Linked DNA regions of Arabidopsis thaliana. The protein of the gene in region 4 purifies or fractionates together with the protein of the main gene of each other region. This does not show direct contact. Each region holds a gene or a part of one and is shown on either strand. Other genes may lie near its edges. The genes, in order: ndhK, CRR41, ndhJ and CRR6.

Evidence for each region.
Region 1: the proteins of CRR6 (region 4) and ndhK purify together in Arabidopsis thaliana (affinity purification with mass spectrometry, with the first as the bait; one study listed by BioGRID). This does not show direct contact.
Region 2: the proteins of CRR6 (region 4) and CRR41 purify together in Arabidopsis thaliana (affinity purification with mass spectrometry; one study listed by BioGRID). This does not show direct contact.
Region 3: the proteins of CRR6 (region 4) and ndhJ purify together in Arabidopsis thaliana (affinity purification with mass spectrometry, with the first as the bait; one study listed by BioGRID). This does not show direct contact.

What each region holds. Positions count from the first base shown.
Region 1 is NC_000932.1:48,757-51,795, reverse strand, and holds ndhK (NADH dehydrogenase subunit K), read left to right. Parts: upstream 1-1,861; coding exon 1,862-2,539; downstream 2,540-3,039. Other genes in the region: ndhC (NADH dehydrogenase subunit 3), read left to right, coding at 1,433-1,795; ndhJ (NADH dehydrogenase subunit J), read left to right, coding at 2,643-3,039. UniProt on the Arabidopsis thaliana protein: NDH shuttles electrons from NAD(P)H:plastoquinone, via FMN and iron-sulfur (Fe-S) centers, to quinones in the photosynthetic chain and possibly in a chloroplast respiratory chain.
Region 2 is NC_003070.9:18,932,583-18,935,803, forward strand, and holds CRR41 (potassium/sodium hyperpolarization-activated cyclic nucleotide-gated channel protein), read left to right. Parts: upstream 1-1,716; 5' UTR 1,717-1,759; coding exon 1,760-2,395; 3' UTR 2,396-2,717; downstream 2,718-3,221. Other genes in the region: AT1G51090 (Heavy metal transport/detoxification superfamily protein), read left to right, coding at 403-414, 540-621, 744-1,165; AT1G51110 (Plastid-lipid associated protein PAP / fibrillin family protein), read left to right, coding at 2,798-3,091, 3,161-3,214. UniProt on the Arabidopsis thaliana protein: Required for both formation and activity of the chloroplast NAD(P)H dehydrogenase (NDH) complex of the photosynthetic electron transport chain.
Region 3 is NC_000932.1:48,102-51,021, reverse strand, and holds ndhJ (NADH dehydrogenase subunit J), read left to right. Parts: upstream 1-1,868; coding exon 1,869-2,345; downstream 2,346-2,920. Other genes in the region: ndhC (NADH dehydrogenase subunit 3), read left to right, coding at 659-1,021; ndhK (NADH dehydrogenase subunit K), read left to right, coding at 1,088-1,765. UniProt on the Arabidopsis thaliana protein: NDH shuttles electrons from NAD(P)H:plastoquinone, via FMN and iron-sulfur (Fe-S) centers, to quinones in the photosynthetic chain and possibly in a chloroplast respiratory chain.
Region 4 is NC_003071.7:19,612,845-19,616,282, forward strand, and holds CRR6 (chlororespiratory reduction 6), read left to right. Parts: upstream 1-1,812; 5' UTR 1,813-1,896; coding exon 1,897-2,092; exon of another isoform or gene 2,093-2,118; coding exon of another isoform or gene 2,119-2,170; coding exon 2,171-2,715; 3' UTR 2,716-2,925; downstream 2,926-3,438. Other genes in the region: NET3C (Kinase interacting (KIP1-like) family protein), read left to right, coding at 3,159-3,249, 3,331-3,438. UniProt on the Arabidopsis thaliana protein: Required for both formation and activity of the chloroplast NAD(P)H dehydrogenase (NDH) complex of the photosynthetic electron transport chain. May function in assembly or stabilization of the NDH complex.

The DNA.
Region 1 (3,039 bases), on a different chromosome or scaffold from region 4:
CAAACTAATTGATTGATCTTATTAAGAAATCGATGTCTTACTCCATGACTTTTTTTTAGGAAAAAAGAGGAGAACAACAGCCTGACATTAGGTCCTATTAAAGTACCCCGTTAGGTAGGGAATGAATAGAACCCATCATTGATTTGAGATATTGATAGGGTGAATACCCAGTCTACTCAATGCTAGGTAGAATGAGTATAAGGAACTCAAAAATGATCTTTTCGTCCTATGAACCTTAAGGTGTATCAAGTTTCATGTTTGATTTTTTAATCAGGATGTTAGAGACTATATTTAACTTAAGTTGATCTAGACCAAAAGCAAACCTACGTCAAGAGAACCCTTCTTTGAAACACTTTGGTAGTTCTTCTGTATTGTATTAGAATTCAAAAATAATCAATCAGAGTACTTGGAACCATTTCTTATCTTTTTTTTAAGAAAAAATATGGTAGACTAACTGATCTTTCGATCAGTTAATGAAAGAGCCCAATGCAAAAAAAAATGCATGTTGGGTCTTTGAAAGAGTTCGAATCATTTTGATAATAATAAGTTCGAACTCTTTTACCGAGCAGGTCTACGGTTCGAGTCCGTATAGCCCTAACTAAGAAATTTATTCTAAAAAATCACATTAAAATCAAAATAATTGGATAAATTTTTTTACTTTTTTTTGTATTCTTTATTTCTAACAGGTTACTTTTAATTGCTCGGTTCATAAAAAAAATTTCCATATCATAAACCATAAGTCCTGGGGATCGTTCAGAATAAAACGGAAAATTTCATTTTATTTCAATGGAGCCAATCACTATCTATCGATATATCGAGATAGATACTTAATTTATAATTTAGAATAAACCTTTTTCTTCATTAATTTTCATAGTTGTAATTTTTTTATATGAATTTTCCTCGTTCACTAGCTACAATCAAAAAGTTCATAATACTTTCTTTTTTTTTTTGTATCCCCACTCAATCTTGGTTACTTTTTTTATCACACGGCCTTGTTTAAAAATAAAAAAAGAAATCTAATTAAATTCAACCAAAATTCAATCTATCTAATACTAAGTAAGATGAGTATGGTAAAGTCTTACTGGATTTTTTGATACGTCATCATTTAAAAAACGAAGAGATTTTTCGAAAAATTTTTTTAAACATAAACAGAAATAAAAAAAATTACTAGTTATTAATCAGATTAATATTATATTATTATATTAGAAACTATTAGTAATAGAAACATGGAACTATTAAGTAATAAGTGTACTGAAAATAAGAAATCAATAAATCTTAAAACGAGACGTCTACCACAACAACCAAACGAAAAAAAATGATTCGATTAACCTGAATTTTTGTTTTGACTCAAGAGTTCTATATCCCTTGCCCAATCCACTCCGATTGGAATTGACTAAGCGGGTATTTTTTCCACATTCATAGGAGTTCGTCTATGTTTCTGCTTTACGAATATGATATTTTCTGGGCATTTTTACTAATATCAAGTGCTATTCCTGTTTTGGCATTTCTAATTTCCGGAGTTTTATCTCCAATTAGGAAGGGGCCGGAGAAACTTTCTAGTTATGAATCAGGTATAGAACCGATCGGGGATGCTTGGTTACAATTTAGAATCCGTTATTATATGTTTGCTCTAGTTTTTGTTGTTTTTGATGTTGAAACTGTTTTTCTGTATCCGTGGGCAATGAGTTTCGATGTACTGGGGGTATCTGCTTTTATAGAAGCTTTCATTTTCGTGCTTATCCTAATTCTTGGTTTAGTTTATGCATGGCGAAAAGGAGCATTGGAATGGTCTTAGTTCGTTTACCGAATACTTGATACAATAATAAAAAAAAAAAAAGTAAAAAAAACCATTGAAACAATTATGAATTCCATTAAGTTTCCCATACTTGATCGAACAACAAAAAATTCCGTTATTTCAACTACGTTAAATGATCTTTCAAATTGGTCAAGACTTTCCAGCCTATGGCCGCTTCTTTATGGTACCAGTTGTTGTTTCATTGAATTTGCCTCATTAATAGGCTCCCGATTTGACTTTGATCGTTATGGGTTAGTACCAAGATCGAGTCCTAGACAGGCGGACCTTATTTTAACAGCAGGTACAGTAACAATGAAAATGGCTCCTTCTTTAGTGCGATTATATGAACAAATGCCTGAACCGAAGTATGTTATTGCTATGGGAGCCTGTACAATTACAGGGGGGATGTTCAGTACCGATTCTTATAGTACTGTTCGAGGAGTTGATAAGCTAATTCCTGTAGATGTCTATTTGCCGGGTTGTCCACCTAAACCAGAGGCTGTTATAGACGCTATAACAAAGCTTCGTAAGAAAATAGCTAGAGAAATCTATAAGGATCGAATTAGACCTCAACAGGGTAATCGGTGTTTTACTACCAATCACAAGTTTTTTGTTGTACGCAGTCCGCATATTGGAAATTATGATCAAGAACTACTCTATCCACCATCATCTACTTCAGAGATCTCTACTGAAACATTTTTTAAATACAAAAGTCCAGTATCGTCCCACGAATTAGTGAATTAGGGAGGCTTTTAGAGAATCAGAAAAAAATCTTCATAAATTAGAATTAACGGTAAATGTGAAATACTTAATTTTATATAAAAAAGGTGTGGGGGAAATAAAAAAGATGCAGGGCACTTTGTCCGTTTGGCTAGCCAAACGCGGGCTGGTTCATAGATCGTTGGGCTTCGATTATCAAGGAATAGAGACTTTACAAATAAAGCCCGAAGATTGGCATTCTATTGCTGTAATTTTATATGTATATGGTTACAATTATTTACGTTCGCAATGTGCCTATGATGTGGCACCAGGTGGCCTCTTAGCCAGCGTGTATCATCTTACGAGAATAGAATATGGTGTTAATCAAGCGGAAGAAGTCTGCATAAAAGTATTTACTCACAGGAGTAATCCTAGAATTCCATCCGTTTTCTGGGTTTGGAAAAGTACGGATTTTCAAGAACGGGAATCTTATGATATGTTAGGAATCACTTATGATAGCCATCCACGACTGAAACGGATCCTAA
Region 2 (3,221 bases), on a different chromosome or scaffold from region 4:
TCATCCATGTCGGCTCATTATTTCGCACCACAGAAGAATAACCCAAAATTATTAGAAAACTTGGACCACTATAAGCACTTGAACTGTGGTCGTGCACTGACTAATGTGAGCCCGTTTTGGTAATTCTCAGCTGTGTGCGTAATTGATGTCGGCGTCACCTTCAGAAACTTCGAAATTATGTGTGATACACCGTGTTTCATAAATTCATACACGTCATTTTAGATACAAAATTAGATATTTTCATTTGATAAAACCGAAAGAAATAATAAACTTTTTCTTTCTTGTTCTCATTTTAAGTCTCTCTTTATATCACTTTCTATATATATTGAATCATGCAAGGAATACACATAAAATACTTGTGTTCTTGTACTTGTTTGGTGACTCAAGCAAGACTCCCAAGCTATGGCGGAGAAGGTACTTTACCAAGATCTGAATTTTCATATTACTTCTCTTTTATTGATCATATCCATAATTACCCTCTAATAGAGTTACTAATTAAGGTAATAATGATCATGAAATTATATGATATGCACAAACAGGTAGTGATGATGAAATTGAAAGTGGATCTAAACTGTTCCAAATGCTACAAAAAGGTCAAGAAAGCTATCCGCAAATTCCCTCGTGAGTTTCTTTCTTTAATTTGAGTTTCTTTGTTCATTTGAATTATTGCGGGTTGAGAAGATTCTGAATCTTGATAAATGGATACGATTTTGTGGTATGTGTTGTTTTGCAAAAAAAAATAGAAATAACAGACGAATTGTTTGATGAGAAGTCCAACACGATCATCATCAAAGTAGTTTGTTACGATCCTGAGAGGCTAATGAACAAACTTTGCTACAAAGGAGACGGTTCTATCAAGTCCATCGTGATCCTTGAGCCACCCAAACCGCCTCAACCCCAGCCTCAACCACCTCAGAAGCCTACTGCCCCAGCCCCAGCCCCAGCCCAAGCCCAAGCCCCAGCTCTTGTTCGGCCGGCTCCGGTTCCTGTTCTTGTTTCGTCTTCCGCTCCTCAACCGATGCCGATGTGGCAGCCGTATCATTGTGGGCCGTATTACGAGGCCCAACAGTACCAATGTTATGGAAGGCCCGTTTACGAGAGCTGGGGAGGTGGACGACAATGTTGCCACGAAGATATGAACTCTCAAGGATGCTCCATCATGTGAAACACTGAACCAAGTCTCCTCCTACTCATATATAGACTATAGTATATACCAGCAAATAAATAACTACACGAAGTTATTTTTAATTGTCTTCGTCTTACCAGTATTTCTATTTCGAGTCCTCGTTTATGTATGTAAACACTACAGGGTTTTGTTTCTTGTGTATATCACGTTTTGGTTCTAATACAACTTTTATTTGCTCTTCTTTTCTTGGTAGTAAAATACAAATAGTAAGATTTTTCGCATAAAAATATAGTTTCTGTTAGAAAATAAAAGTATATTAGCACGAAAGAATGGAAACTAAAAACTCTGAGACCGGCCTCTCCAATGAGTGACATGAGTCGATGAATACTCAACTATTATGTTTTTACAGTTTACTTATCCACAGATGACACTGTTTCTTTCTACTGTGAAAAGAGCAGCCGTGGTGCTTACACCTCCACACGACACCGTTTAAACGGAAACTAAAAACGACGTGACGTTCTTGTCTGAAACACTTAAACGACGCTATAGTGTACTGTAACTCCAGAGAAGGCCTTATCTTTCTCCAATTCTCAAAACCCTCTTTAACACTCTTCCTCTAAGCTTTTTAAATCAATGGCTTCCACTTCCACACTTCTTCTTCCATCTCTCTCCTCTAAGAATCTTCACATCGCAGTCCCAATAAGAACCAATAGCTTCGTTCGTCGAACAACAAAGTTCTCAACAAAATGTTCGTCGAATCCAGAGTCAAAGGATCAATTCATCAATCTCACACCAGCACCTGAATCAATCAACACAACAAGCGCAGAGAAATTCCCAATAGAGAAACGAAGAAGATCAGAGATCATACGAGACAGAACACAAAGAGGAATCGAGAAACCAGAGCCACCAAACTTCGAAATCGGTTGGAAAAGAACAAAAGAGATAAACTTGGAGAAACCTAAAGGTTATGTAATAATGGATTTCTTAGAAAAGTTCGAAGCTTTAATGGCGAGAGAGTTTGGATCAAAGGAGCTTTTAGCTAAAGCTGGTGAGATTGTTGCAGAGAGAGCTAGAGAAGAAGCTGAGGTTTTGAGAGATGAAGGTAAAGTTGAAGAGAGAATGGTTACAGAGCTTTTTAGGGTTTTGAAATTGATGGAGATGGATTTAGCTATGGTTAAAGCTTCTGTTAAAGATGAAACTTTGAGTCAGAGGATTGAACAAGCTAGAGCTCGGTGTCGACAAGCTATTCTTGTTGCTAATTCTTTCTAATTCCTTCTTCTTCTACTTGCAAATTGAGTCAAAAGTCTATGAATTTTGTTTATAGTTTTACACAAAACAGAGCTTCTTCATCTGTAAAAGATCTTATTTTTTTGGTTCTGTAATCATCTCTGGATCATTCATCTGTTACTTTAATGGTAGAAGAAGGATTGAAGATGAGAGTCTCATGTGAAGAATCAAAACAAAGATTCATGCTTTTGGTTTTGCAATTTGTGAGGAAGCTTAAGGGTTTTTGGGAGGAAAAAACTTAATTAGTTGAGAAAATTTTACTTCCACTAGTTTCATATTTCAAGATATTTCACCAAGACTCAAGCTTTATTGTACACCACACATTAAAAATGCAAAGTTTAATCATTTTAACAAAAGCTTCACAAGCAGCAGTAGACAGCAACAATGGTGGCAGTCAGATTCTACGCTGTAGAGATGTCGCTACCATGTTTATGTCCATGCCCATCATCGCCGATTTCTCTTTCATTGTGTTCTCCGAGATTCAATCTTCTTAACACAACAAGCAGGAGACTAGGTTTGTCTAGAAACTGTAGAACTCTGCGAATCAGTTGTTCATCTTCATCTACTGTCACTGACCAAACTCAACAATCGTCTTTTAATGATGCTGAGTTGAAACTCATTGACGCTTTGATCGGAATTCAAGGCCGTGGCAAATCTGCTTCTCCTAAACAGCTCAATGTGTGTAAAAACTTTAAACTTTCTTTAATTTTCCGTCGTGTTTATGATTTGAGAGATTCTCTGTTGTAGGATGTTGAATCTGCTGTGAAAGTTCTTGAAGGTTTAGAAGGCATTCAAAATCCTGTATGAA
Region 3 (2,920 bases), on a different chromosome or scaffold from region 4:
CATTTTATTTCAATGGAGCCAATCACTATCTATCGATATATCGAGATAGATACTTAATTTATAATTTAGAATAAACCTTTTTCTTCATTAATTTTCATAGTTGTAATTTTTTTATATGAATTTTCCTCGTTCACTAGCTACAATCAAAAAGTTCATAATACTTTCTTTTTTTTTTTGTATCCCCACTCAATCTTGGTTACTTTTTTTATCACACGGCCTTGTTTAAAAATAAAAAAAGAAATCTAATTAAATTCAACCAAAATTCAATCTATCTAATACTAAGTAAGATGAGTATGGTAAAGTCTTACTGGATTTTTTGATACGTCATCATTTAAAAAACGAAGAGATTTTTCGAAAAATTTTTTTAAACATAAACAGAAATAAAAAAAATTACTAGTTATTAATCAGATTAATATTATATTATTATATTAGAAACTATTAGTAATAGAAACATGGAACTATTAAGTAATAAGTGTACTGAAAATAAGAAATCAATAAATCTTAAAACGAGACGTCTACCACAACAACCAAACGAAAAAAAATGATTCGATTAACCTGAATTTTTGTTTTGACTCAAGAGTTCTATATCCCTTGCCCAATCCACTCCGATTGGAATTGACTAAGCGGGTATTTTTTCCACATTCATAGGAGTTCGTCTATGTTTCTGCTTTACGAATATGATATTTTCTGGGCATTTTTACTAATATCAAGTGCTATTCCTGTTTTGGCATTTCTAATTTCCGGAGTTTTATCTCCAATTAGGAAGGGGCCGGAGAAACTTTCTAGTTATGAATCAGGTATAGAACCGATCGGGGATGCTTGGTTACAATTTAGAATCCGTTATTATATGTTTGCTCTAGTTTTTGTTGTTTTTGATGTTGAAACTGTTTTTCTGTATCCGTGGGCAATGAGTTTCGATGTACTGGGGGTATCTGCTTTTATAGAAGCTTTCATTTTCGTGCTTATCCTAATTCTTGGTTTAGTTTATGCATGGCGAAAAGGAGCATTGGAATGGTCTTAGTTCGTTTACCGAATACTTGATACAATAATAAAAAAAAAAAAAGTAAAAAAAACCATTGAAACAATTATGAATTCCATTAAGTTTCCCATACTTGATCGAACAACAAAAAATTCCGTTATTTCAACTACGTTAAATGATCTTTCAAATTGGTCAAGACTTTCCAGCCTATGGCCGCTTCTTTATGGTACCAGTTGTTGTTTCATTGAATTTGCCTCATTAATAGGCTCCCGATTTGACTTTGATCGTTATGGGTTAGTACCAAGATCGAGTCCTAGACAGGCGGACCTTATTTTAACAGCAGGTACAGTAACAATGAAAATGGCTCCTTCTTTAGTGCGATTATATGAACAAATGCCTGAACCGAAGTATGTTATTGCTATGGGAGCCTGTACAATTACAGGGGGGATGTTCAGTACCGATTCTTATAGTACTGTTCGAGGAGTTGATAAGCTAATTCCTGTAGATGTCTATTTGCCGGGTTGTCCACCTAAACCAGAGGCTGTTATAGACGCTATAACAAAGCTTCGTAAGAAAATAGCTAGAGAAATCTATAAGGATCGAATTAGACCTCAACAGGGTAATCGGTGTTTTACTACCAATCACAAGTTTTTTGTTGTACGCAGTCCGCATATTGGAAATTATGATCAAGAACTACTCTATCCACCATCATCTACTTCAGAGATCTCTACTGAAACATTTTTTAAATACAAAAGTCCAGTATCGTCCCACGAATTAGTGAATTAGGGAGGCTTTTAGAGAATCAGAAAAAAATCTTCATAAATTAGAATTAACGGTAAATGTGAAATACTTAATTTTATATAAAAAAGGTGTGGGGGAAATAAAAAAGATGCAGGGCACTTTGTCCGTTTGGCTAGCCAAACGCGGGCTGGTTCATAGATCGTTGGGCTTCGATTATCAAGGAATAGAGACTTTACAAATAAAGCCCGAAGATTGGCATTCTATTGCTGTAATTTTATATGTATATGGTTACAATTATTTACGTTCGCAATGTGCCTATGATGTGGCACCAGGTGGCCTCTTAGCCAGCGTGTATCATCTTACGAGAATAGAATATGGTGTTAATCAAGCGGAAGAAGTCTGCATAAAAGTATTTACTCACAGGAGTAATCCTAGAATTCCATCCGTTTTCTGGGTTTGGAAAAGTACGGATTTTCAAGAACGGGAATCTTATGATATGTTAGGAATCACTTATGATAGCCATCCACGACTGAAACGGATCCTAATGCCCGAGAGTTGGATAGGGTGGCCTTTACGTAAGGATTATATTGCCCCCAATTTTTATGAAATACAAGATGCTTATTGAATGATAAAAAATGAGCCAATAGGATGAACTAAAAAAAAAGAGTTCTGCATTATGAACTTTGTATCGCGCACATAACTTAGTCAACTTTAGTCACATAACTGGGAATGAATAAATAAGATCGGAAAGCAATAAATGAAGGGGGGGATACAATTCTATTTCTATTGTATCTAATGAACCTTGGGGTATTTTTGCCCTTCAACTATAGTATACTATACATATAGACCTTTTTTTACTTGTTTGATTCAACGGAACTCATTTAACCTTTCCTTTCGGATATGTATTATGTATCAAGTATTATACATTCTTTTTGAACGGCTGGATTCACAACATGAACAAAAAAAAGAGAGGGGATAAAGCATAATTGCACTTTTTTTACTAAAGATACGTTTAATTTGAAGAATAAAAACTTATCAAAATTAATAAATCCTCTGCCAAGAACCAGATTTGAACTGGTGACACGAGGATTTTCAGTCCTCTGCTCTACCAACTGAGCTATCCCGGCGAAGGATCATCCTCGTTTTACGAATGGTGGCACAACGATTTCAAGTCCCCCGGAAAAAAGCTATGTCCACCAT
Region 4 (3,438 bases):
GACTTTTTCAAGAACCCTAATAAACCCACATTCGGAACGAACGAGATCTCAACGAACTAAAACACAAGCTCCTCCAAATTATTAAAAAAAAAAAACACGCTTCTTATTACATTCAGATCAAGAGTACTAACCCAATAGGTACAAGATCCGATTATAGATAGAGATCCGGATACAGAGAATAAATACCTAAGAAATCCCAAGCGAAATTAAAAAGGCCGCATCGATTCACAAGTTATACGAGCTTCACATCAATAAGAATCCAGGTGGAGCTTGGGAACAGTACCCAGGTCCCAGATTGGGGCATCGAAATCGACAACCAACACTCGAAAGCGAATGCCTTTTACAACCCACAGAAGAAGAAGCGGTCAGAGGAAATAGATTTTAGGGTTTGACGGGGGAGTGAATATGTATGTCTGTCTCTGTGTTATCCAATCGCTTCCTTCCTTGTCTCATTTTTAATTGTTGTCAGTCAGTCATTTTATTATTTTATCATTATTTTCTTCAAACTAAATTTGGTAACAAAGTTTTACATTTCATTCTAATTGACCGTATTCTTACCGATTTATCTTCTGCCTTTTTAATTAAGGGATATATATAAAGAAAGCTTTTCAATTATAGAAATAAATTAAGCTGCCACATGATAACGAAATTAAAGTGTGCTTTCTATGTATTTCTCTTTCTCGTTGTTATCTTTTGTTTTGGTAATGTTTCTAGAAATGTTGGAACTTCACCGAAATAAACATGGTAACTGACTAGATTCTAAAAAATCTTGTTCAAAATTCATCATATAAAATAGACATCTGAAGATAAGAAGACTTACAAATAGAATACTTTGGTTTAATGGAAACTTTCTTTCCGTTTTTCCTCTTTTTACGCAATTGTATTTGACAAAACAAAACTAAGCAGAGTAAGCTTTTTGTTGCCGTGATCACAGCACTTTCGCCGCTTTAATGGGCCAAAAGGTGTTTTAACGTTTTACTTTATATAATTAAGATGAAATCTTCCTTCTTTGGATATAAATAATGATTTGGACAACTACTGATTTGGTCAAAACGTAAACAAAAACAAACAAACAAAGGAAAACGTCAAAAAAAAAAAAAGGTGTTATGAGTTATAAAAAATAACATTATTGGGCCGTAAGAATCCTTTTTTTCGTCTATATGGGCCGAATTGAAGTCTAAATGGGTCTCGATCTTAACTATGCCTACACAGCATAAAGAAGTTAATCACTACAACAAAATCATCATTTGGCCTTATAATAGATATTCATTCTCAGGCACTCTAAGACACTGTGAAGTGGATCTTTTGACGCTTATGTTCATCTTACTAGATTGCATAGGTGAGCTTTTTCTCTCAAATCATATTATCTTTGCCACTGCTATGGTAGAGACCTTGGGGACTTATCTTTGCCAAGGAATGTTCCATTGCATAGCTATTTAAACTTTAAAGTGAGCAGAATTCTCAGTCTTTGAGCTACTTACTTACAAAGCCTCTATTGTGCAACTCCTTTGACCCGGTACGACCTTGGAAGACAAAGAAGGCCTCACTGCTTGCAAGGGGCAATGGCGAAGAAGAAGATCAGAGACGGTCAAGCTTGCAGATGCTCCTGAAACACCTCACCAACAGTGAAGGAGATTCGACAATGCCTACATCTACATGAGACCGAGGAGGCTGACTTGAGTTGAAAACATTCCACATTAAAGAAGAGAGCTCTTCATTTTTCTGAACGATTGAAGAAATGCATTCTGCTTAACATTTGAAACCTTTACGACAGACAGCAAAATATATGTATTTGTGCGGTGAAGGAAAAAAGGATAAAATGGAAAGAAATGAAGAAAAGGCCAAAAGAAGAGGATAAAAAGAAGACTAAGACACAAAGAGAGATAGCGTCTGTGAATGGCAACAAAGGCAGTTCTTCTCCCGTGGCTTATCCCATCGCCGAGACACGTATCGCTGTTCCCAGTGGTTCAATTGCCGGCGTTGGAGACCGCCGGGTGGTGTGTAAGAAAGAGGAGGGCAGAAGACGTAGCAGTCTCCGTCGCCTTCAATCCTTCTGGCAATTTCGACATCTCTGCCTTCGAGAATGACCAAGGTTCGTACTTGCTCAATTGATTCAGAATGATAAATAAAAAAAGGCTGCTACTAATTAATTATGTGAAAGGCGTAGCAGATTCAGATAAAGTGGAACCTCCGATGCCTCCAACGACCGGCCGGTACGAAGTAGTGATCGACAACGACTCAATTGGGCGGCTTGACCTATCCCCGTTTCAGAGAGCCATCGGCATAACCTCGCCTGATGATTTTGGTGTAGCTGAACCAAAACGGTATTTGGATCGAACCATCGGATTCACCATCAATTACAAGAGAGAAGACCCCGGGGATCCGCGGGAGCTGTCAGAGTACCCGGACGTAAGACTATGGTTCGTGAGGCTCGACGCGATGTACCCTTGGCTGCCTCTGCTGCTGGACTGGCGAGCTGGAGAACTTGCTCGATACGCAGCCATGTTAGTGCCGCACCAGATGAGCTTGAGAATGGGTGTCGTTTTCAATCCGGAGGCGTTGGAGCTTTTCGTAATGAACAAAGTGTTTGTGGTTTATCCGTGGCTGAAACGGCACGGCGTCCCAAAGCCCAGGTTGAAGACGAGCGACATGGCCAGGATGCTCGGATTCGGTATCGGCGATGAGCTCTTCGACTTGATCGATCACAATGAATGAAAAACGATGTGTTCTATCTTCAAATTACATACGTGGGCCTAATTGTGGGCTTACAATGAAAAAGGCCTGGGGATGGTAATTAAGAGGATTTTTTTGGGTATTTGATACACACGTGGCGAATATTCATTGGATAAGTTGTATTAATAGCCGTAAAATCTGGGAAAATAAATTCAAAATCTCGAATATCTGAAGAGAAGAGAGAGCCCATTCAAAATTTGAAAAACAAATCAACAATTGGTTTATTCGTATCTTTCTCATTTCTCTCTAGTCTATATCGCTCTCAGAATACAATTGGAAAAAAGAACAAGGTATTTAGGAATCTCTCATTCTTGAGTAGCTAAGCATTGAGGTCTCCTTTGCGTTTATAGATTATTTTTTTTGGTTGAAATTGTTTGGTTCTGTTGGGATATGTTGTTGTGTTAGGGAAGAGAACACAAAAAGAAATGGTTAGAGAAGAGGAGAAATCGAGATGGTGGTGGTTCGAGAGCCACAAGAGCTCCAAACATTCTCAATGGCTTCAATCAACACTCGCTGGTTGGTTCTTTTTCTCACTCAGTTCTTCTCTATGTTTTGTGGTTTTTGCCAACTTTTTGGTGTGAAACGTTTGTGGTGCAGAGATTGATGCAAAGACAAAGGCAATGTTGAAGTTGTTAGACGGAAACGCAGACTCTTTCGCTCAGCGTGCTGAGACTTACTACAAGAAACGTCCTGAGCTTATCAGCT